Arabidopsis thaliana: one gene and its partners. The protein of the gene in region 3 interacts with the protein of the main gene of each other region in a pairwise test. Each region holds a gene or a part of one and is shown on either strand. Other genes may lie near its edges. The genes, in order: AHG1, CBL5, CIPK1 and ECT2.

Region 1 (4,413 bases), on a different chromosome or scaffold from region 3:
TCTTGATTCTTGATCTCCCTTTTATTTAGGACCAAAACTCTGTATTCGTCAAACCTGTTCGAATTGTTCCATTTCCATCGAACTATAAGAGTTGTCTTTTTGTCTCTCTTTCTTGAATTGTTCTCTTTGATTCTTTTGCACATCTCTTTTTTTTTTCCTTTAAAGCCTAAAGAGTAAAGACAATCTGGTAATTGGCCCAAAAGCCTATATAGCATTGTTGAACCAAATATAAAACTGCACGGTTGAGTAGGGTTAGGGCTGGTTCAAAATCTCAGCCTTAAATTCACTTCATTCAGGTTGTACCAAAATGTAAGTATTTGTAGACAGAGATGACTTTAACCATTGGAAATGATCAGTCCATCAAAAAAATATAAAAGACCAAGACCGGCGTCTAATGAACTACAACGAACAAAACCAAAGCAGTACTACGTTTTTATTTTATCTATTTATTTCACACATACCACCTAAATAGCTAAACGATCAATAACTTCAAAATGATCACACACATACAACAAACAAAATTAGAGAACAAATTCTCTCAAGTTAACTTTTATTTTATTGTTTAAACCACTAAATACCCTTAATAGCCCATGGCCAAACCACTAAATAACCTTGTAGCCCATATCCAAACAACTCTCTTTTCCTTTCACATTCGCCGGTGTTAATGTGTATTGGTAACCCCAATTCATAACAAAACAAAGACGGGCGCTAAACCCTAAAACTAATTAAGGCTCATCGCTATATCAACATCTTATTCTTTGGTTTAACCACTTAATTGCACAACCACCAAAAAAAGGATCCAAAACTAGTTTTACTGAGAGCTATTCTTGAGATCAATGACGACCACACTTATATTATCACTGCTTTGTCTACCCAAAGCCAACCGCGTTAGCAACGTTGCAGCCAATACACTCCTTGAAGGATTTTGTTCTCCGTCATTGTCGTCTTCTTGAGCCATTCTATTTAAATCAAGGCTCGAGGGAGTTTCTTCGCGGAGACAAAACCTAGCTATGTCACAAGCTAGCTGACTCGAGAGTACATCCCAAAGCCCATCGCTTGCTAATACTAAGCATTCATCTCCAGATTCCCTTCTCATGAATGTTACTTCTGGTTCCCATGCTACCATTGGTTTTAGATACCTGTCCCCTGCTCCATGAATTGTAACACAACATTAGGAACAATTTCCATACTAAAACTTCATGTTTAGTCTAATAAATTGTATAACCGAAATAAATTTTAAGTTGGTTAAATGATCAAACAATGAAAGATACAAAGATAAGACACATTTAAATACTTTTGAAGTTAAGAAAAATACTTCTCCCGTTCTAATCCATGAGATGGTTTGTATGAATGCCCACATTTTTTATTTTCGTAAAATGATTCAATTATTTTTGTTTTCTAGTTAATGCTGCAAATATAATTTTTTTTGTTTTTTTTTTTTTTTGTCAAATGTTAAACTATTAGGACCAATGTAAAATTTCTAGTTAACATTTTGACAAAAAAAAGAGAGTAAAATTTACATATTTTTTTTTTAAAGGAACAATTATAAAACATCTTTGAAAATAGAATTAGAATTAATCAACAAAAGAACTCGCACCAAATGAAACCAATCCATAGTACCTTAGTTAGTAAACTTAAAACCCTAAACCCCAAATCCGAAATGATTATTATTGCCCTTATAGGCTCTAGTTCCTTGCCATCTTCAACACTATCAACTAAAATCATCTTTTACTACAATATGAGAATTGAGAAAGGTATACCTATGGCTCTGGACGTGGCTAGAATTCCTTCAACTCTAGCTCCATCCACTACTAAAACTCGACCACCAGCTGCTTCAATCCTCGCACGCTCGTCTGGTCTATCCGGCTGCAAAAAACTCAACAACTTCAAAATAGAAACTCCAATATTCTCAAACCTTTACAAGAACACCACCTTGTGATCGTTACTCAGAGGAATAGCCATTCCATTTCGACACAACACCGCACGTGAGTCACCAGTATTGGCTACAATAATATGATCGTGCGTCAAAACCGCAGTGACCGCCGTTGAACCCGAAATCGCAGCCTCCCTCGGATCACAGTTACACAACGGCACACTAGTCCCACACACGCATGTACTCGTTGCCATCTCATCCATCCTCTTGAAACTCCGTTTCATCACGCCCCGCCATTTCCTCTCCACGACATCGTTTTCGCTTCCTTCTTCCTCCTCTTCGAGGTTTTGCTCTAGCTCCTCCTTGACAAACGTGTGCATAGTCGTGCTGCACAATGTTGACACCTGTCCACGCATCACATCAGCATCTTTATATTAAATGACCAAACCACCCCTGGTTAATTTTCTTACCTGAGAACCGCCGTGGCCATCGTATACCGCAAAGAAATGAACCGGTCTTTGCCGGTTAACTTCCGGTTTGCACAAATTCGGTTTAACAGTAACCGAATCCTCCATCTTACGAGATCTTCCCATAACCGAAACTATACCGTACAACGGCTCATCCTCCGTTTCTTCTCCCTTCCACACCGGCGCTTCCGATTTTTGGCAAGAAGATGCCGCCGGAGGTGCCAAAAAGCCCCCGATATCCGCCGGAAGACCACCGATCTCTGACCTCCGAGCTTGTTTCCTCAATGGAACGTCAAAACTTGAGTAAACTTCCATGTCCGTCCGATCACGATTCCTAGACGAACTAGGTTCGCCGAAAACCGCCGCTTGTCTCCGCATCTCAATTCTCCGACGACGACGTTCACGGCATTTAGTCGGAGAAACGTCGTCTCCACGTCCGGTTGAAATTGTTCTGTAGATTTCAGTCATCTTTTCAAAATTCGTTTCGGTGGATCAAGAGAGCACCGCTTTATATACATGGGGCCGAGAGAAAGAGAGAACACTTTGAACATAAAGAAGCTTACGAGGAAGACAGAACACGTGTCGGTGTTTCGATGTATTCGCGTGTTAGGCTCAGGTGTTAAGTTGTTGTCCACGTGGAGACGCCTTCGGTTTTTGTTAAACCGCATCCGGTTTTGGGTTCATGACGATAGTCGTTTAGCTAGGCTCTTGTGTCTTAACTCCTTTCTTCTTCTCCTTGCTTGAATTTGAACCCATGAGCCGGAGCTGATCTCTCAAACCATGTGAACTACAAGGATCAGGCTGGTTCTGGACTAATTCATCAAATATTATAGAAAATGAAAAACTCATGATATACGAAATATTGCATCTTGTTTCCTTTTGCTTTCAATATGAAAACATTAATGTCAAAACAATGACTATAAATGTAACAATATTGAAAAGGTTTATATCAATTTTCTTATTTTTAAAAAGAATTAAATTTTGAAAACCATCTTTTTGAAAAGTGAAAACAAACAATTTCTACTATATTAAATCTGGAATAACATTTACTGATCGTTCCAAATCTCGAGTAGTATTTTCTATAAAACCTGAACGGTAAGTATACTTAAACCAAATCATGGGATTAACCATAACGTTGGAGATATCTTCGGAGAAAAAGGTTGACGAATCGTCAATCGTCACTAGTCACTCTTTTTCGGTGCAACACATGTCACATAGTGATCATCTACAACTTCTCGATTCCTCAGGTTGAGCGACTTGTACCAATTAAACACGTAGCATAGTTATGCCAGTTTAGTCCATCAGTGCCATATGCCTTTTATTCTTTATTTGGTTTCCTACAAATGAAGAAAAACGGCGATATATGTATATTTTATGCTAACAGATTTGATTTGTAATTAATGTCTACTCAAATAAGCAACTGTACAAGATACAAAGAATCATATCATTATTTATTCAAATACTCAAGATCTACGAAAACCGTAATAAATGTTTACAAACTGTCTTTGAAATATATTAAAGTGGGTGAACTGAAATATGTGGATCGATCAATCCTAATATTTTGCTATATTGATGAGAATTAATACGAGTCGAATAGATCATAACAGTTAGGGTGGTTCTCTCTACATGAATGATATGGTTTAGCTAAAAACTAAAACAAACAAAATATTAAGCTAATATAAATGTGTAAGTTATCTAAAAGGAAGATAATAATGAAAAAGCTTGTCTAAAATTCTTAAAAAATGATTCAAACACACTTTACCTTAAATTTGTGATTAGTTGGGACTGGGATATAGTTTTAATCATTGGTGGGTTGGGTGGTTAGTTTTAGGTTTTAATGATTGAAAACTTAACTTGCCGATATAGTGATTTTGTTTTTTTTTTTATGTGAAGAAAATAAAAACTAGTGAGCTTAATTTCAATCCCTGGCTGTTTTAGTAGGTTATTATATATAAACCATATATGATAGAAATGTTATCTTCGTACATCAATGTTTGTTTAAATTGTTTATTCAGTTTTTTATGATCTTCTTGCGGAAATTTGGTTTAATAATTTTGCGTGTGGTTAGAATTA
Region 2 (3,625 bases), on a different chromosome or scaffold from region 3:
TGACTAGACGAATAAACACATTTTCGCTTAATCCCTAACACAAACATTTCCCTAAGTATCTTGAATTCAATTTTAGTTACTTTTCATGTAGCTTTTCTTTGTGGTATATGTATGTGATTAATGCTTTCGAGAATAAAAGAAAATATGAATACAAAACATTTAACAAGGTCTGCAAGGGAAACTTGTTAAAAATAAAGGCAAGAAACGTTAATCAATCAAGATCCTGAATGCACAGTCGTGATAATTGGCATGCTCACATCGTTAGTTGGTGATTTGATGTGTTCTTCCTAAAAAAGTTCCTTAAGAATTTCACTTTTAAAACAGAATTCAGATTTTGCATTCTCGCTACAAAATACTTGTAGACTGAGATACAATCTGAATTATCATATAACATTTGTTTGCTATCGTAACGTTTTTTTTTTGTAAAAGAATATAATACCAGTAATCAACTTTTTTTGGTTCTGGTTCTATATGATTGGTCAATAACTGAAATAATTTTAGGATATCATAGAGTTAACGAGATCGATTGAAAAGAAAGTAAATATTTATTGTTATATCTTTGTATATAAATTTATTGGGTTAGTCAATAACATTGAGAGATACTATTATACTACTAAAGTTTCATCCATTTTTATAAAACAATAGAGCTCTCAAAATGGACGGGCGGCCCGTGGGCGTGTTTCATCCATTACAACTGTAGCTTCAGAGTCTTCATTCAGCATAGGAAGTCGGGTTTTAAACAAGTATCGGAGTTGTCTTCTTCCTTCTACAGTTCAAGCTTTGATATGTGCGAGGAATTGGCTATGCAACTTTGAAGAGATTGGTAAGCTTTTGACTTCTTTTCTTTTGTCATATTTCAATCAATTTGAATCTTAATGCATATTGAGTTCTTCTTTTCTGTAGTACTTAGGTGATAATATTGAGTTCCTTAATAAAGACAAAGATGGCGAGAGAGAAGAAGAAGAAGTTTAAATTTGCTTTTAATTTGTTTTTGGATTTGATACTTTGTTAAATACTTGAATTGTGTTTAAATTTGCTTTTGGATTTAATACTTAAATTATTTAATACTTTGTTGTTTAAATTTGCTTTTGGATTTGATAATTTGGTTGAAATATGAAGCAAATACTATTGTGTTAAAATTTGGTTATGTTATGCTCATTGGACAGCCCAGTTGGACATGAGCTTTAATGAGCATGAACGTTAATGGACATGGACCTTAGTGGACATAGACACTATTTGTCCAATATCGAAATGGATATTATTGGACTGAGCTAATGGACATGGACATCCCGCTTTGAGTATCAAGTAACAAGAAAAAAATTTGAATCAACAAGAAAATATAAACCATAGAAAAAGAATATGTTTAAAGAACTCAGGAAAGAAAATGAAGTTTCATAGAAAAAGAACTAGTATCAAATTCCGATATAAATTATACCATTTGTCTCCAGCTTCCTAAGCCGGCAATGTACAAACCCTTCCACTTTCGAATTTGTTCGGTTAGAAATAGATTTATATTCCACAATTTCTTGCACCTACGTTGATGCCTATATATATAGACACACTTAAATGTATGTGGAATTTGAAATATATATTGATATAGTAAAATGGGATGTGTTTGCAGCAAGCAATTAGAAGGAAGAAGGCAAGAAGACATTTCGCTTCTTGCTTCTCAAACCTTTTGTAAGTTACGTCTACTTCAATCATCCACCACTTCCTCCTCCTATATATTATATTGCATGGAGAAAGAATATTATTACACGAGCTTGTAGATCAGATAACATCTAAATTGTTTTGGGTTTGCAGTTAGCGAGGCTGAGGTTGAAGTTTTGCATGGATTGTTCATCAAACTCACTTCTTGTCTTAGCAACGACAATCTTTTGACCAAAGTTAGAGTCCAAACTAATTTTTCTTCCACAATGTGAATAATTTTTTTTTGGTCAACAAAATGTGAATAATATAACATCTAAATTTTATACTAGCTAGTTATAGAAAAGTTGTGCTTTTGTCATGTCAAATTTGGTTGGCTTTTCCAGGAAAAATTTCAATTTATCTTGATCAAGAATACCAAAAAGCGCAGTCTTTCTGCAGAACGGGTAATTGAATTTGTTATATTAAGCGAAATAAATAAATAAACTTCGATTGATGTTGTTTCTCTGAAATATGCAGATTTTTGGATTATTCGATATGAGAAACGATGGGGCTATAGATTTTGGAGAGTTTGTACACACACTCAACATTTTTCACCCAAACTCATCACCAAGAGATAAGGCCATATGTATGCTTCATCACTTCTAATGTGTTTATTCATTTATTCCATGTTATTATTATTTTCTATATAGCTAGAGATCAATGTTATTAACTATAACCACAAATACATCTGATCACTTGTTTAAAATTAAACAGTTGCATTTAGATTATACGATACTCGTGAGACTGGATTCATTGAACCGGAGGAGGTACGTATGTAAACTTTGTCTCAAAAAAAAGAAAAAGTCATGATTAATTATATTTGACGGTTTTCCTCGACTTGGAGAAATCTATAGGTGAAAGAGATGATAATAGACGTTCTAGAGGAATCAGAACTTATGCTATCCGAGAGTATCATTGATTCTATCGTGTCTAAGGTGTGTATAACGCTTAAGTTTATGAGCTTGATTTAACATTATAGTGATTTTACTTACTATTTTTGTTTACTTATATTTGGCAAAGACATTTGAAGAGGCCGATTGGAAAAAAGATGGGATAATAGATTTGGAAGAATGGGAGAATTTTGTTGCCACCTATCCTTTGACACTAAAGAACATGACTATCCCTTTCTTGAAGTAATTCGTTTGTTTGTTTTTCCTAACCATTTTCTTAATATTCGCTGATAAATTGCATGTTTTAGATACATCTTTCGTTTTACAAAAAAAGTAATATATATACATCTTTCAAAAACAGCTTTTATATATGTGTGTTTATGCATATATTACTATTATCTTCTTTTATTTTATTTTTCTTGTTTTATAAATCGAGATAATTATTCTAAAATTAACTTTTATTGTACAGGGACATTCCGAGGATTTTCCCAACCTTTCTCCGGTAAAATCAGATGAGGTGTTTGCTAGAGGTTTTTGTTTAAAAATATTTTTATCCGAAAATCACATAGGTAATTTGTTATAAGAAATATAGAAGGTTAATTATTATATAAACATATTAACTATCGAAAGAAATCTTTAATATTTAACGAGGATAGAAAGTAATTGTTTTTAACCACAAAGCTAAAGCTGTGATATGAAAACTTAAAAGCAAAGATCGGTTCGTGAAGACAAAATGGGGTTTTGGAAAAGGAAAAGAGGAAAAAGAAAAAGAACAAACGTGTGAAAATTCGAGAAAAATGGTAACACAAAAAGAAATTGGACATGATATAAGTTGCCAAAACCAAAGAGAAAAAATTGACATGATATACCAATCAAATTTTTGAATCAGGTCAACTAATCAAATTCACAACAATCATCCACAATATTATTTAGATTTGACGCTTTCACTGTTTCACATGAAAATTTTACATTTGACGCGATGACTTGTGGAGTCACGATCATTTTAGTCACTCGTTTTAAACGGATGCTTCATTCAAAAAATGTAA
Region 3 (6,370 bases):
AGAAGTGCAGTGGAGCAAATTCTTTACGGTAGATGTAGACATTGGTGGTCGTGCTATGTTATCGTATGACAGTTTCTTCATCGACAAGGAGAAAGGAATGGCCTTGCTATGTGGGTTGTGAGACAAGTAACAGACTTGCGAGCAAGAACCTTGTATACATTGTTGGGGAGGACCGTGAATACACAGAAATCCATTTTGGCGAATGGCCTAAGTTCATTCCTTTTATGAACTCATGTGAGCCGTTTTATTTTCAATTATGTTCCAAGTTTGGTTCAGTATTAGTCGATACAGGTAAGGACGTAATTTCTTCAATCTCCTTTTTTTGTTTATTCGTTTTTGCGTTTTTGTAGTAAAATCGTTTGATTAATCTATGACTAGATATATTATTTTGATTCCTGGCTTATTTGCACTACATTCAAGTTCCAACTAAAACAAGAACAAGTTGTGAATTTGACTAACTTTAAAACTACAATTGTTACATTCCAGGACGCTAAATGTTGATAGGTCACATGACTCATGACTCTTGAGAGTATTTTATGAGACGAAAGCAACATAGCATAATACTAAAAATTTATATACGTAGATCGGTTGGTGCGGAATTGAATGATGTACAGATACAAACTAAACACATGTATATTATTTACAAAAATAATGAAGAGATTTTTTATGGGATCTTTTTTGCTAGTAGGCAGATTTGCCACACCAAATAATAATAAAAACAAATACAAAGGTAGTGAATAAAATCTCTAATTCTTGAGGAAAGATCTACGCCACGGTTTATACTTAAATGCAATTACTATTTGCACTAATCATATAAATCGAGCTCCTTTTATATATACTTAAGATAATAAATTATATGAACATGGATGGTGTGTTCCATATGATAAATTATTAGAGCTATGTATATCTCTTCAGCCGAAAACACCAACACCTAAGTTACTATCTCTTGCTCCGGCGAGGATGTGCCCACGTCTTTTAATAGTCTCTCGTACAACTGCACCAACCCCAATATCAAACATAAACATTTTTATCTTTGATATGTGTTTCTTCAGTCTAATTAAGAAATGACAATAGTGGCATACCTGTCTATATAAACATGAATCGCCATAAGATTTTCTTAGCTCAACCACGTTCAGTGACGGCTTTATCTCGAAAACCTGATATCATAAGAATTTCTTCTATTAGTCAAATAATCTCACTAAATAGTCTATTGAACAGTGAAATAATGTTTACGTAATAGTTAATATACCTCAGCTGTTACTGATAAACCAACTTGACCTTTCTGGTTTCTTTCTTCTTGTTTTACTCTTAACTGAAACAAAATACAGTTTAAAGTTTATAAACCTACAGATTTGAAATTCCAAGTTGCTAAGGAAGAGGAAGACCATGTTGTGAAGACCCACCTTGGCATGTTTCTTTTGTACACTGAATCCCATTTCTGTAACGGCTGTTTCGATTTTCTCCAGTAAATCTTTTGCTGAGCTATTTGAAGTGAATCTTATTCTCCTCTCTGATACATTCTGAGAAAGTAAAAGTATAACTCCTTTTTATTATACATTGGCTCAAGCAGAGAGCAGATCTTTGAAACAGAGTATTAGAAGATTAGTTACCTCTTGTTCAAAGAAACCGGACAGGTCAAGAAAGGAAGACATTCCGATTAACTGAAACGCATTGATGATGGTCGGTGAATCACTGCCCTTCCCTTCTTCTGATCCCTAGACCATTCAAAAGAGAGACAGAGAAATGAGGACATTGTACTTGACTCAAATGCAGTTGCGATAGAGAGTAAGGGTGGCAGATTCTTACGAGTTCTTGGATTGAGAAAGCATCATCGTCTGTGTCAACTTCTTCTTCGTCATCATCATCGGGAATTGAAGGAATGTACTCAAGTTTGAACCACTCGCTGGCTTTAATACCCACAACTGTGATCCTCGTGACTGGATTTGGATCAAGCATTCTCTTAATCATGGTTCTTGCACCCGGGGATAACCATCTTGGTATTGGTGGGTCTCCTTTACATATCTAGAAATCAAATCAATTATCAAGCTTATTTCTTCAAAATGTGTATTGAATTGGCATATATATAAGAAAAAATGAGGTTTACCTTCTGGTAAAGAACTGCAAGGTTTCTGTCGTCGAAAGGAAGACATCCGGTTAGAATCACATACAAGATTACACCACAGGACCATATGTCTGATGCTGCACCATCGTAGCCTCTGTTAGCTAAAACCTCAGGCGCAACGTAATTAGGACTTCCACAGGTTGTATGCAACAATCCGTCATCCTAAAATGCCAAAGAGAAAATTAGTTGTAACTCGAACGGATTCAACAATTATAATTCTGCTGTGATATGCTATGGTTTTAAGATGATATTTTCAAGTACCCTAAAATGCTGAGGCAGAGCACTGAGGCCAAAATCAGTGATCTTTATATGTCCCTTTGCATCAAGAAGAACATTCTCTAGCTGCAATATAGAAAAACATCAGTACACTATTCCATAAGGTTTCCATGGTTTGAAACACAGTGAGAGAATCACAGACCTTGAGATCCCTGTGGAAAACACCTTTGCTATGACAGTAGCTGATTCCATCGATAAGCTGCTGAAACATTTTTCTTCCATCAGTTTCTGTTAATTTTCCGTTGGAAACCTGAGAGTTATCATCAAAGTGTGAGTTTAGCAAAAATGACACTCGTCAAAAAAAGAAAAAAAATCTTTTTTGCTTTGAGCATAGAGGCTAGTAAGAGTCTTACAATTCTGTCGAACAATTCTCCTCCGGTAACAAGTTCCATTACCATATTAATTTTCGTTTTGCTAGCCAAGACCTGCATGATTACCATAAGGAAGAGGCCATTAGTTTCAAGGTAAAGGAACAGTGAGTTCTGAGGTAAGATGTTTCATGTTTGAGAATCCAAAAGATTAGTCACAAGAAAGAAAAAGAAACATTTAGAATTCGAATTGCATTCATATCCACAGATTACATAAAAAACACTTAGTTGTCCAAGACACGACAAAGTTAGTCACGAGCTTAAAAAGTGGACCACGTGTATCAAATAAGTGAAGATCCACAATGGTTGCTTAACCAAAAGTCACGATTAATCTCGTGTTAAATGGCAAAGAGGAAGAAGCAATCGAAATAATTAGAAGTCAACAATAAAACGCAAAGATACAGCAAGCAATGACCCATACAATAATCATCTGAAATAATACTATATGAATAAAATAAAATAAAAAGTAAAACTAAGCATAAGATCAAAGAGGGTCCACATGATAAAAAGCTTAAAAGGGTACTAAGATTAAGCAATTATATGATGATCAAGCGACATATCCTGCATTTTTCACGATAATTTTTTTTAGGACCCCACCTTTGAATTGAACAGGTCAGATTTGTGTTACCGGCCAAGCCACCATATCAAATAATGGAATAATTAACTTAATAATTATGTAAAATGATGCGGCTAATTGGCAACGTGAAAAACAAGCTAAATGAAACATGTTTGGGTACGAAACCAAATGACTTGTAAGAATATTCCTAAACAGTAAAAAAAAAGATCCAAAAAGCAAACAACAATTATCCAAGATTTGAGGTGTTTTTAATCCTCGTCAGCTCCATTTTGATAGATAAAGAAACAACAATGAAGAAATTAACTAAAAATAGTTTACTAAACCTAATCTAACAATCTAAAATGACGAATCAAAATTTGAATAACCATCCATAAGCAGGCAATAATTCGATCACTTTCTGTCATACTCAGGTATATACTAAATAAACAGAAACAAGCAAACAGAAGAATAATCAAAAATTGTTATACTAATTAAGCAATAAACCTTTTTACTTCCTAATCACAGAATCATTTCGATAATCCAAAGATGATTATACACAAAAATTTAAGATACGGACCTCATGTAATCTAACAATGTGGGGATGTTTCAACATTTTCAGAGTCCGGATCTCTCTTTTTATCTGCACAGATTCATAAGAATTGGATCTGTCAAATTACAAATTTAGTAAAAGAAGAGAAAAGAAAAAAATTAGAAATGATGATAGAGAGATGGGAACCTGTAAGGAGAAGTTGAGATCGGCGATACGAGACTTGTCGATGATTTTAACGGCGAAGGAATGACCGGAGACGGTATCTTTAGCGAATTTAACTTTACCGAAATTACCCTCGCCGAGCGTCCTCCCTAGCTCGTATTTCCCCAGACGCATTCCCTTCTCCGCCTTCTTCTCCTCCTCTTGCCTTCTCACCATCCAATCAATCTCCTATTTCAATTTATTTCCCAACAAATTAACAGACAACCAAATCGATTTCTCGCTTGAATCTTCCGATTAGATTACTATTAATTCCGTTATTGAAAGAGGGGAAGTAGATTATTGTAGCTGTGCAGGTATGTGTGTGAGGGAAGGAGATATATATATATATATATATATAGGTGTAGGTAAAGAGACGAGGAAGATTGGGAAGAAGAAGAAGAAGAGAAGAAAGTGCCGGTTGAAATTGAAGAGAGGACGCTACTTCTCTTTGTTTCCTCTTCTCTTCTTATTATATTCACTTCTTTTTATATATATATTCCTCGTTAACTATTTTTTTTTGGTTTTTGTTAGCCAGATTTTTATTGGATAACTAGAAACATATTAATCTTCACAAAAGAAAAAGATTAATCTAACAAACCATATAAGATTTGATATTATCGAAATAAGATTTTTTTAGTAGGGTACTTATCGAGATTTATTATTATTGGTCAAATAAAACTCCTATCAAATGAAATTATGTCTATGTTCATTATAAGGAGAAATTTAAAAAGGATCTTATTTCTGTCAACAATCAAAATATGGAAAATATACGCAAAGAGTATATTGATTTATCAGAATAATTCTATATATGATGTATATTGCGAATATGTGTGTATTTTATGTGTGTACTTGTATGCATCAATAGGCCCACGTCATTTGTTGCATTAGTTTTATGTTGAAATTAAATAATAATAGATGAAAAAATATATTCATAAGAACTTTTGGTTTAAAGTCAGAAAGAAACGCTACAAAAAGATTGGTGCTTGCAGTTTTATAGTTCTTGTTACTGGAGCAGTTTTGATTTGGCTTTCGGATTTTAGTTCTTAAATGTAGAAACAAACTTGTATACACATAAAAGTTCACAAGGAATCACATACTTTCCAAGTTTTCATGTTGGAGTTACTTAAAAGTTGAAGTCCAACTATGATTTCTTAAAGTTACAGTTTAGTTTTGTACCTTTGTTATAAAAGAGGAGATCAAAAGAGACCTAAACTTAAGATCAAGTTATATATACACACTACAACAAATTAAACAACGCGTTCATAACCCATTCGTTTCTATGGAAATTTTGAACTTATGACTTGGTTTCATAGACAGTAGGTCTTCATTGTCGTGGCATTTTCAGTTTAAGAGATAATTTGGTAATAAACCATTTATATACGTCGATATCGTGCATGAATTGATAATTAGATTTAAAACACTTTTTTACGATAGTGCTTTCGGTTTGGGGGGAAATAAACATGGTGCTTTCAGTTTTATATTGTTTCTGTCTTTGTAGACTAATAATATTAGTTGTAGACTTTTACAAATTTTTAATTCGCAATATAGGCAAGCGTTTAGAAACACAATCGTTAATGATACACTTAAAGTTAATATTTTTTAAAAAAAACTATGGTAATTTATACTATATTTCATGTCTCGTCCTTTGTCGGCTCACAATTAATTAAATCACATGGAACCATTCAATTTATATTTGTTTTTCTTATGCGGTTTGTGTATTTAATTAAAATAAATAAATTGTTTTTGAGAATCCAAAAGTTTCAATAAACCAGGGCCTGGGCACCAGGCTAATCTCTTGAATTTGGAAAACTCCATATTATATCTTTTTATTGGATACATAGATTATTGAAGAATGTAGTGGTTCTTAGCTCTCGTCAGTCGTCCCAACATATTTTTGGTAATGAAAAGGTCATATGTCACATGTTTCTCTACACATCTTTTTCCCAAGGTTTTTATTAAAATTTGTAGTTAGTAAATGATGTGGCTGAAATGAATAGATACTATATAGAAAAGGAGAAAAAACCAATAATTAAAATTATTCGAGTCTCTCAAACGTGTCAAAATGGCCGGTGATAGTATTGCTGCCGGCAGTGAGTAACATATTGATTGATCTATGTTATCAGAACCTCTCTCTCTCTCTCTTTTGTGTGTAGATGACTAGGTGTGTTATATATATAAATTTAAATAAATAAAAGAGTAACTCGTTCGTGGTTATATAAACTTTCTCAAGCAAATATTTTATACCACAATTTTCTCTTGTTATATTCTTTTGCTCGTGCTCTTTTAATGTTAAACTA
Region 4 (6,287 bases), 1.6 Mb from region 3:
CAACATCTTCCCCAAAAACATAAGACCTTCACTCAAGTGACTCCAAATACATTATAAAAACCAATTCAAATGTACCTTAGACTTTAGGATTGAAAAATGCGAGAAAAGCTCACCGAGGATCGGTCTCTAAAGCGATGTGAAGAGCTTGATTAATAGCAGAGTATAGATTCATCGATTTACCACTTTCAGATACATTTTCAACCGTCGATAGCATCCTATATCCATGACCAGAGACCGGAAAAGATGATCCCCGGCAGAATCTGCGTACAAGAGCTGCCGCCATTTACGCAAAATTTAGACGCTTTCCACCAACGAATCAATCTGAAAACTACAGAGGTTTAGCTTAAAGTTCCTCAAGTTTCTTCTGGAGAAGATCACACAAATTTGATACTTTTGGATGAAACCAAAACAGACATGAAAGTACTATCTTTTGTCACGGAGTTTCCGAGATAAAGCGTTGGAGAAGCTATCTAGCCACGTCAGATCAGACAACAAGTACTTATTTGATCAGCTTCATTTATTATTGGGATTTTAACCACATCAGCAATTTCGGCAAGATAGATCAAAACGACACATCATACATTGGAATGGTGAAATGGAGAGCTGACTAAAGTTAGGTTCTCTCGGCTTCTTTGACAATTATTGGTGACAGCAACAAAATTATGAGATCAAGGTCGTTTTGTTTTGTTACACGAAAAAAATCAACAATACTTATCTCCTTGCTTTGAAAATCTTAAAACATGGATTGATTCAGATAACTTTGGAGAATGACAGAAACAAGACGAGAGAGGCAAAAGACCATCTCAAATTCTAAACGACTCAAGAGAGTCAAGTCTGAAACCAAAGCAAGAAACCAAAAGAAAAGAAAACTCTGCCTAAAAATCCAACAGACATGAAAAAACAAAATCCCACCCTGCTTTTATCTCCTTTTCTCTAATTCTTCCCACGATTTAGTAGGTCCTATGCGCATTTTTACAGGGTAGGAACAACAGAAAATGAAAAAGAAACCCAACATAAACTTGTAACGAGACTGCGATTTTGAAGAAAAGGAAAAATGAAAACAAGAAAAGATTGAAAAAAAAATAACTGGGATTTAAACTTCTAAGGGCAAAGAAACGGATCCGTCTCAGGTACTAAAGCTCCTTCCATGCTTCAAGGCTCACGGCAATCTTCTTCTCAAGAGAAACGTTAAACGGGATTGTTCATATCTTCATCTCTAGTCAGTTTTATGCCCATGCCGTGAGCGACACCATCCTCTTAGTTAGCAACCATTTGCCACCACATCGCCTGTGACTGGTTTAGCAACAGACCCATTCTCAGCAACCTTAACATCACTGGACGTTTGAACAGCTGCAGGAGATTCCTTGCTCGCTGACTCTGCAGTTGCAGATTCCTTCTTTTCATCGGTTACCTTCTCCTCGCTTACCTGTTAAGCTTTAATACATTAGAAACACTCAAGTTATATATATACTGAATGAAAAAGATTTCTGAAATTGTTTTCTAGTTCTTACCTGTTTCTGGGTTTGCTTGGCTTTCTTCTCCAAGATAGTCTTCTGTCGAACCTCGTAGAATGAGAAATCATCCAAAATGCAAGTCTTGCTGCTATGCTCCTTGAAAATTTTCACAATCTTCAAACCTTGCTCCAACTTAACCTAATATGATCCAAACAAAGAAAGTTAGGCACAAGAAAACAAAAACGCTCGTGGAGTAATCAGTAAAACAAGCCAAAAGATGTCACAAATATTTACCTCTTGTGTGTCTCTGCTGTTGGTAACAGGTTTGTTCTCATTGTTCTCTAAAGTAATATGCTTCAGTAAACTGTTTGGCACATCCTTCACAATATGCCACTTGAGGGGGAAAGAGCCGGTCCACTTATCTTGCTGCCAGTACTCCACATTTGTGTTGAAATCAACTGGTCCTGTCATTTCAGCAAGACCAACAAATTGTCCACTTGCATTGACCTGAAAGACAAAAACTGGAGTATAAAGAACAATATCATAAAACAAAGTAAAAAGAGCACAGTTTTTAATTTCAGGATTATATACACACCGAGAAAAACAGAAAGATGGGACAGCCGCCAGCTTTCTGTTGAGCTTCCTGGTATGCTGCAGCAAGCTTCTTGTTTCCATTTGGTGTGCTAGCCCAAACATTATATTTAATGCTCTTGTGCACATCATCTTCACTGTATGACTTGATGATAAAGAACATGGCATTTGCATAATCCACTGGGAAATCTTCTTTATTGTACTGTTCTCTGTCAGGAACAACACATGTGTTATCCGCCTCCCCAACCTCAGTTACATTTGATTCTCCAGTCTGCTCCTTAACCTCTAAGCTATCATCTAGATTTCCCTTCTGGTTCTTTGTGCCCTTAGCTCTAGGTCCCCTGTTAAGTTCATTCAAACCATCTACATTGTTCTCATTTCCGTAATAGTAACTGTTACCCCTGCCCCAGCTTCTGTATTTGTTGTCTGTGGCCGCCCATCCTCTTCCATTTGTTCTTGAATCATACCCAGATGAACCATAACCCAAAGCAGATCTCCCTGTGCTACCATACTGACCATATAACTTGTTCTGATACATCCTGTTGTAGTACCCCTGAGCTGTACCATAGCCAGTCACTGATGAAGGCTGGTGCACGCTCTGCAAAGAAAAAAGTTGATTGAAGGTCAGTTAACAAATTTGGAAGACTTGAGCGGCTATATATATATGCCAGTAAAGCAGACAATGGTGTTCATTAGCAAAAAGAAGTTTGGAAAGACATCATACCGTGTAGTGAGAATTTGAGCGGTAGTTTTGATTCCTCGATGAAGGTACTGTGCTAGACTTAGAATAGGAGGATGCAACTCCACTACCAGAAACAGGTCTCTGCACATCAGAGTACTTAGAGCCATCGTGCCACGGCACAGGAGCATAATACCCTTCATAGGCATACCTGGGGTCCTGATAACCAGCAGCCAAACCTCCTCCTGGAGCACCCATACCATACAAATTACTTGAGGTGTTAAGGGTAGCCTGGTTAGTTGGTTTCACTGGAGCTGATCCATTACTTCCTTTTGTGATACCAGCAGCAGAAGCAACATTATTGCTATCCGCAGGTAGTGTCTTCACACCAGCAGGTTTGTTTGCAGAGAGATCCGGCTGGGTAGGTGTAGCCACAGATGAAGCATACGGTCCACTGTTTGGAAAATAGTTAGGATACTGATACTGCTGAGCACCGTACAACTGCCCTTCCCCGCCAAGCTGTGGAGCAGGGCTAGTTGCTGGCGAGTAAGGATACGCTGCATACCCATAACCCTGAGGATACACAACAGTCCCATTCTCTCCATAAATTCCCTGGTAAAATATTGAACCTGTTAAGCAAAGAAAATATAAAGACGATGAAAGGCACTATTATAACTAGTCAGCACACACTTACAGAATTCATGTCAACACCCTCAGGATTTGTGTAAGCTGGGTAGTCAGTCCACTCTTGACCACTCCCATATACTGAAAAGTTACAAAACGAAAAACTTGTTAAACCAGTGGTGACAATTTAGTGAAATAATGTTTCTAGATTGTAAATGATTTGAGGATGAAGCTACCATTGTAATACTGGTAGGGATTGTAAGGATTAGGAACATAGCAAACTGAAGGGTCAGCAGCATCACTGGGAAGCATTGGTGTCAAAGATCGATCATAAGAAGGAACTTGACCATGAACATCAACGCCTCCATACTGGTAGACGGCAGTCTACACAAGACACAAAACAAAAGCGTTAAAAAAAACTGGAAGAAGCAAAAGTTGTGACAACAGAAAACCAAAATTCAATCTGCAAATCACCTTCTTGTTAGGCTCAGGGATCTCTGAAGCTTTTGCTGGCGAGTCCAAGGATAGTTTCTGCAACAGATCTGTAGCTTCTACAAACAAGGTGAGTCAAGGAAGCAAAGAATTACACAATTAACCATTAGAATAGTGGAAAGCAAACATTCTCAAATCAATCAAACTCGCCACAAATGAATCGATTTGAATCAATATAGAAACCTAACAATCGAGAAATATATTGAGAAACCCGAAACTGAATCTAGGCAATATCAAATATATCTGAACAAGACTCAAAATCAGCTCACTGGATTCAAGATCCAACAGATTCAAGATCGAGAAATCAAAACACAGATCGAGAAACATAAAGAAAGGATACGATCAGCAGGAGGAGCAACGGTAGCCATGAGAGGAGATTCGACAAACAAAGATTTGGATAGATCCTTCTCGGATAAAAGGGGATGCGACCAAAGAGAAAGAAGAAGAAGAAGAAAAAAAAGAAGATAGAGAAACCCTAAATGGAATCAGGAAAAACCCAGATCAAATCTAGGGTTTAAGAGATAGAATAGAAGAGAGAAAGAAGAAAAAAATGGCCGCAGCCGCCAAGAAGGAGAAGGGTTTTGCTTCGGGGAAGAGGAAAAAAAGGGTTTTGTCTCTCTACCTCTCCCTCTGATTCAAATAGATCCACTAATCAACCACCTCACCTTCTCTCTTTTTTTTTTCTTTCTTTTTTTTTTTTTTTCTTCCACCTTAAGATATTTCCTCTTTTGTTTTAAAAGAAGACTATAGACCGTGTGGTTTTGGTTATTTTTCCTGCAAAATCTGGATAATATACTTTTCCATTTTCTTAAAATTGGTAATCTTGTAATAAAATAGATATAAATCTCAATTCTGTTACCAAAATATAATTCAAAAGTAAATTTGGTCAAATTTAAAAGCAAAAGAGGGCATGCTTTCTATTATAGGTGTGTTTCTTCTATAAATTTACCCCAATATACATTGAAATATCTTTAAAAATATATATTAAACTTTTTTGTTTTGAGCAACTATTTAAAAACTAAAAGCAAATCATTAAGATAAAACCAAAGAAAGTAAAATCTATTTTTCAGAGAAACTTACCAAAACTAGCTATTCAAGAAAATATACTTTACCTTTAGGATAAAAGGAAGTAAATTACCTTAGCTTAAAAAAGCTATTATTAAATAAAAACATTTTAAGATCGAGAGTATGTAATGGGCCTATTTGATTAAAGATTCATAAACAGGCCCAAATCACCAAACAAGGCCACCGGAAATAAACCCATGATCCGATTACCCATCCGACGTTCTAGAGAGTTCTAATGAGAAAACAATGAAGAGTACATCCAACGGCTAAGATTAGCTCGAAGTTTCAAGAGCTAAAGGCTCATATCGCCTTTATATTCAAAGAAAAAATTATCAGTAGCAAGTGCATTCTTCATTTCGTCATTGGAGAAACCTACTTCTTCCTCCTTATCCGGAATAAACCTCTTCGGCGCCATCTCTCTCCTCACCTCCGTCGTTCCACCGTCCGGTGAGTGTCACTTTTCCCATCAATTGAGCTCACAATGTTGGCGCCTATGTAATTGTGTGTGTCGATTGATTGTTTTGTTAGAATTGGAATTAACAAGTATTACTAGTAGCTGAGAAAAAGTATGTTACCTTGTTTTCGTGTTCCCGGAGATTTGTGGCTATTGGTGTAGTTGTGGTTTTGAGTATTTGGGGATTGAGCTCTGATTTTGAAATTCATCTGTTTTTTGTTTTTTGTTGCCAGTTTTAATTGGTTAGTACTTTTGGTGAATCTTTCGTTTTATGTGAACTGTTGGATTGATTTTCAGTGTTTGAGAAGTGAAAATGGCATCGACATTCACTGCCACGTCTTCCCTTGGTTCGTTGCTTGCTCCCAATGCTATCAAGTTGTCTTCTGCGACTAGCATCTCTTCAAGCTCGTTTGGAAGGAGACATAACGTGTGCGTCAGAAGATCCCGTCCTGCCATAGTATGTGCAGCCAAGGAGTTGCATTTCAATAAGGATGGGACTACCATAAGGAAACTTCAGGTGAGAATTAATGAATTGATTTTCTGGAGTAATGATTAGGATTCGTTTTATTTTTGGTTTCTGATTACTCGTTTGTTATTAGACTGGTGTTAACAAGCTCGCGGACCTTGTTGGTGTCACACTTGGACCAAAAGGGAGAAATGTTGTTCTTGAGAGCAAGTATGGATCCCCAAGAATTGTTAATGATGGTGTCACTGTTGCGAGGGAGGTATGAAATTTATTGTCTGTTTAACCAATTATGTTCCTTTCGTTTTTAATTACTTCTCTAAGCTTAAGGTTTTCTTCTGCTTAGGTCGAGTTGGAGGACCCGGTTGAGAACATTGGTGCAAAGCTTGTAAGGCAAGCAGCTGCAAAGACCAATGACTTGGCTGGTGACGGTACAACAACATCTGTTGTTCTTGCACAAGGTTT

Evidence for each region.
Region 1: the proteins of CIPK1 (region 3) and AHG1 interact in a two-hybrid assay, tested with the Arabidopsis thaliana proteins (one study listed by BioGRID).
Region 2: the proteins of CIPK1 (region 3) and CBL5 interact in a two-hybrid assay, tested with the Arabidopsis thaliana proteins (one study listed by BioGRID).
Region 4: the proteins of CIPK1 (region 3) and ECT2 interact in a two-hybrid assay, tested with the Arabidopsis thaliana proteins (one study listed by BioGRID).

What each region holds. Positions count from the first base shown.
Region 1 is NC_003076.8:21,025,311-21,029,723, reverse strand, and holds AHG1 (Protein phosphatase 2C family protein), read right to left. Parts: upstream 2,850-4,413; 5' UTR 2,809-2,849; coding exon 2,344-2,808; intron 2,278-2,343; coding exon 1,933-2,277; intron 1,867-1,932; coding exon 1,761-1,866; intron 1,147-1,760; coding exon 812-1,146; 3' UTR 536-811; downstream 1-535. UniProt on the Arabidopsis thaliana protein: Negative regulator of abscisic acid (ABA) responses during seed germination.
Region 2 is NC_003075.7:579,498-583,122, reverse strand, and holds CBL5 (calcineurin B-like protein 5), read left to right. Parts: upstream 1-1,601; 5' UTR 1,602-1,604; coding exon 1,605-1,680; intron 1,681-1,803; coding exon 1,804-1,886; intron 1,887-2,033; coding exon 2,034-2,093; intron 2,094-2,166; coding exon 2,167-2,275; intron 2,276-2,403; coding exon 2,404-2,456; intron 2,457-2,543; coding exon 2,544-2,624; intron 2,625-2,709; coding exon 2,710-2,822; coding exon of another isoform or gene 2,823-2,826; exon of another isoform or gene 2,827-3,048; coding exon 3,049-3,085; downstream 3,086-3,625. UniProt on the Arabidopsis thaliana protein: Acts as a calcium sensor. CBL proteins interact with CIPK serine-threonine protein kinases. Binding of a CBL protein to the regulatory NAF domain of a CIPK protein lead to the activation of the kinase in a calcium-dependent manner.
Region 3 is NC_003074.8:5,988,378-5,994,747, forward strand, and holds CIPK1 (CBL-interacting protein kinase 1), read right to left. Parts: upstream 4,625-6,370; 5' UTR 4,251-4,624; coding exon 4,059-4,250; intron 3,963-4,058; coding exon 3,900-3,962; intron 3,702-3,899; exon of another isoform or gene 2,839-3,701; coding exon of another isoform or gene 2,824-2,838; coding exon 2,752-2,823; intron 2,649-2,751; coding exon 2,541-2,648; intron 2,465-2,540; coding exon 2,384-2,464; intron 2,285-2,383; coding exon 2,105-2,284; intron 2,023-2,104; coding exon 1,807-2,022; intron 1,716-1,806; coding exon 1,611-1,715; intron 1,521-1,610; coding exon 1,404-1,520; intron 1,313-1,403; coding exon 1,250-1,312; intron 1,158-1,249; coding exon 1,083-1,157; intron 995-1,082; coding exon 932-994; 3' UTR 547-931; downstream 1-546. Other genes in the region: AT3G17500 (F-box family protein), read left to right, coding at 1-121. UniProt on the Arabidopsis thaliana protein: CIPK serine-threonine protein kinases interact with CBL proteins. Binding of a CBL protein to the regulatory NAF domain of CIPK protein lead to the activation of the kinase in a calcium-dependent manner.
Region 4 is NC_003074.8:4,384,013-4,390,299, forward strand, and holds ECT2 (evolutionarily conserved C-terminal region 2), read right to left. Parts: upstream 4,581-6,287; 5' UTR 4,209-4,580; coding exon 4,181-4,208; intron 3,900-4,180; coding exon 3,823-3,899; intron 3,733-3,822; coding exon 3,585-3,732; intron 3,490-3,584; coding exon 3,419-3,489; intron 3,337-3,418; coding exon 2,770-3,336; intron 2,644-2,769; coding exon 2,050-2,643; coding exon of another isoform or gene 2,048-2,049; intron 1,962-2,047; coding exon 1,749-1,961; intron 1,653-1,748; coding exon 1,512-1,652; intron 1,427-1,511; coding exon 1,262-1,426; 3' UTR 551-1,261; downstream 1-550. Other genes in the region: DIN4 (Transketolase family protein), read right to left, coding at 1-26, 114-283; Cpn60beta2 (TCP-1/cpn60 chaperonin family protein), read left to right, coding at 5,673-5,876, 5,959-6,084, 6,169-6,287. UniProt on the Arabidopsis thaliana protein: Specifically recognizes and binds N6-methyladenosine (m6A)-containing RNAs, and regulates mRNA stability. M6A is a modification present at internal sites of mRNAs and some non-coding RNAs and plays a role in mRNA stability and processing.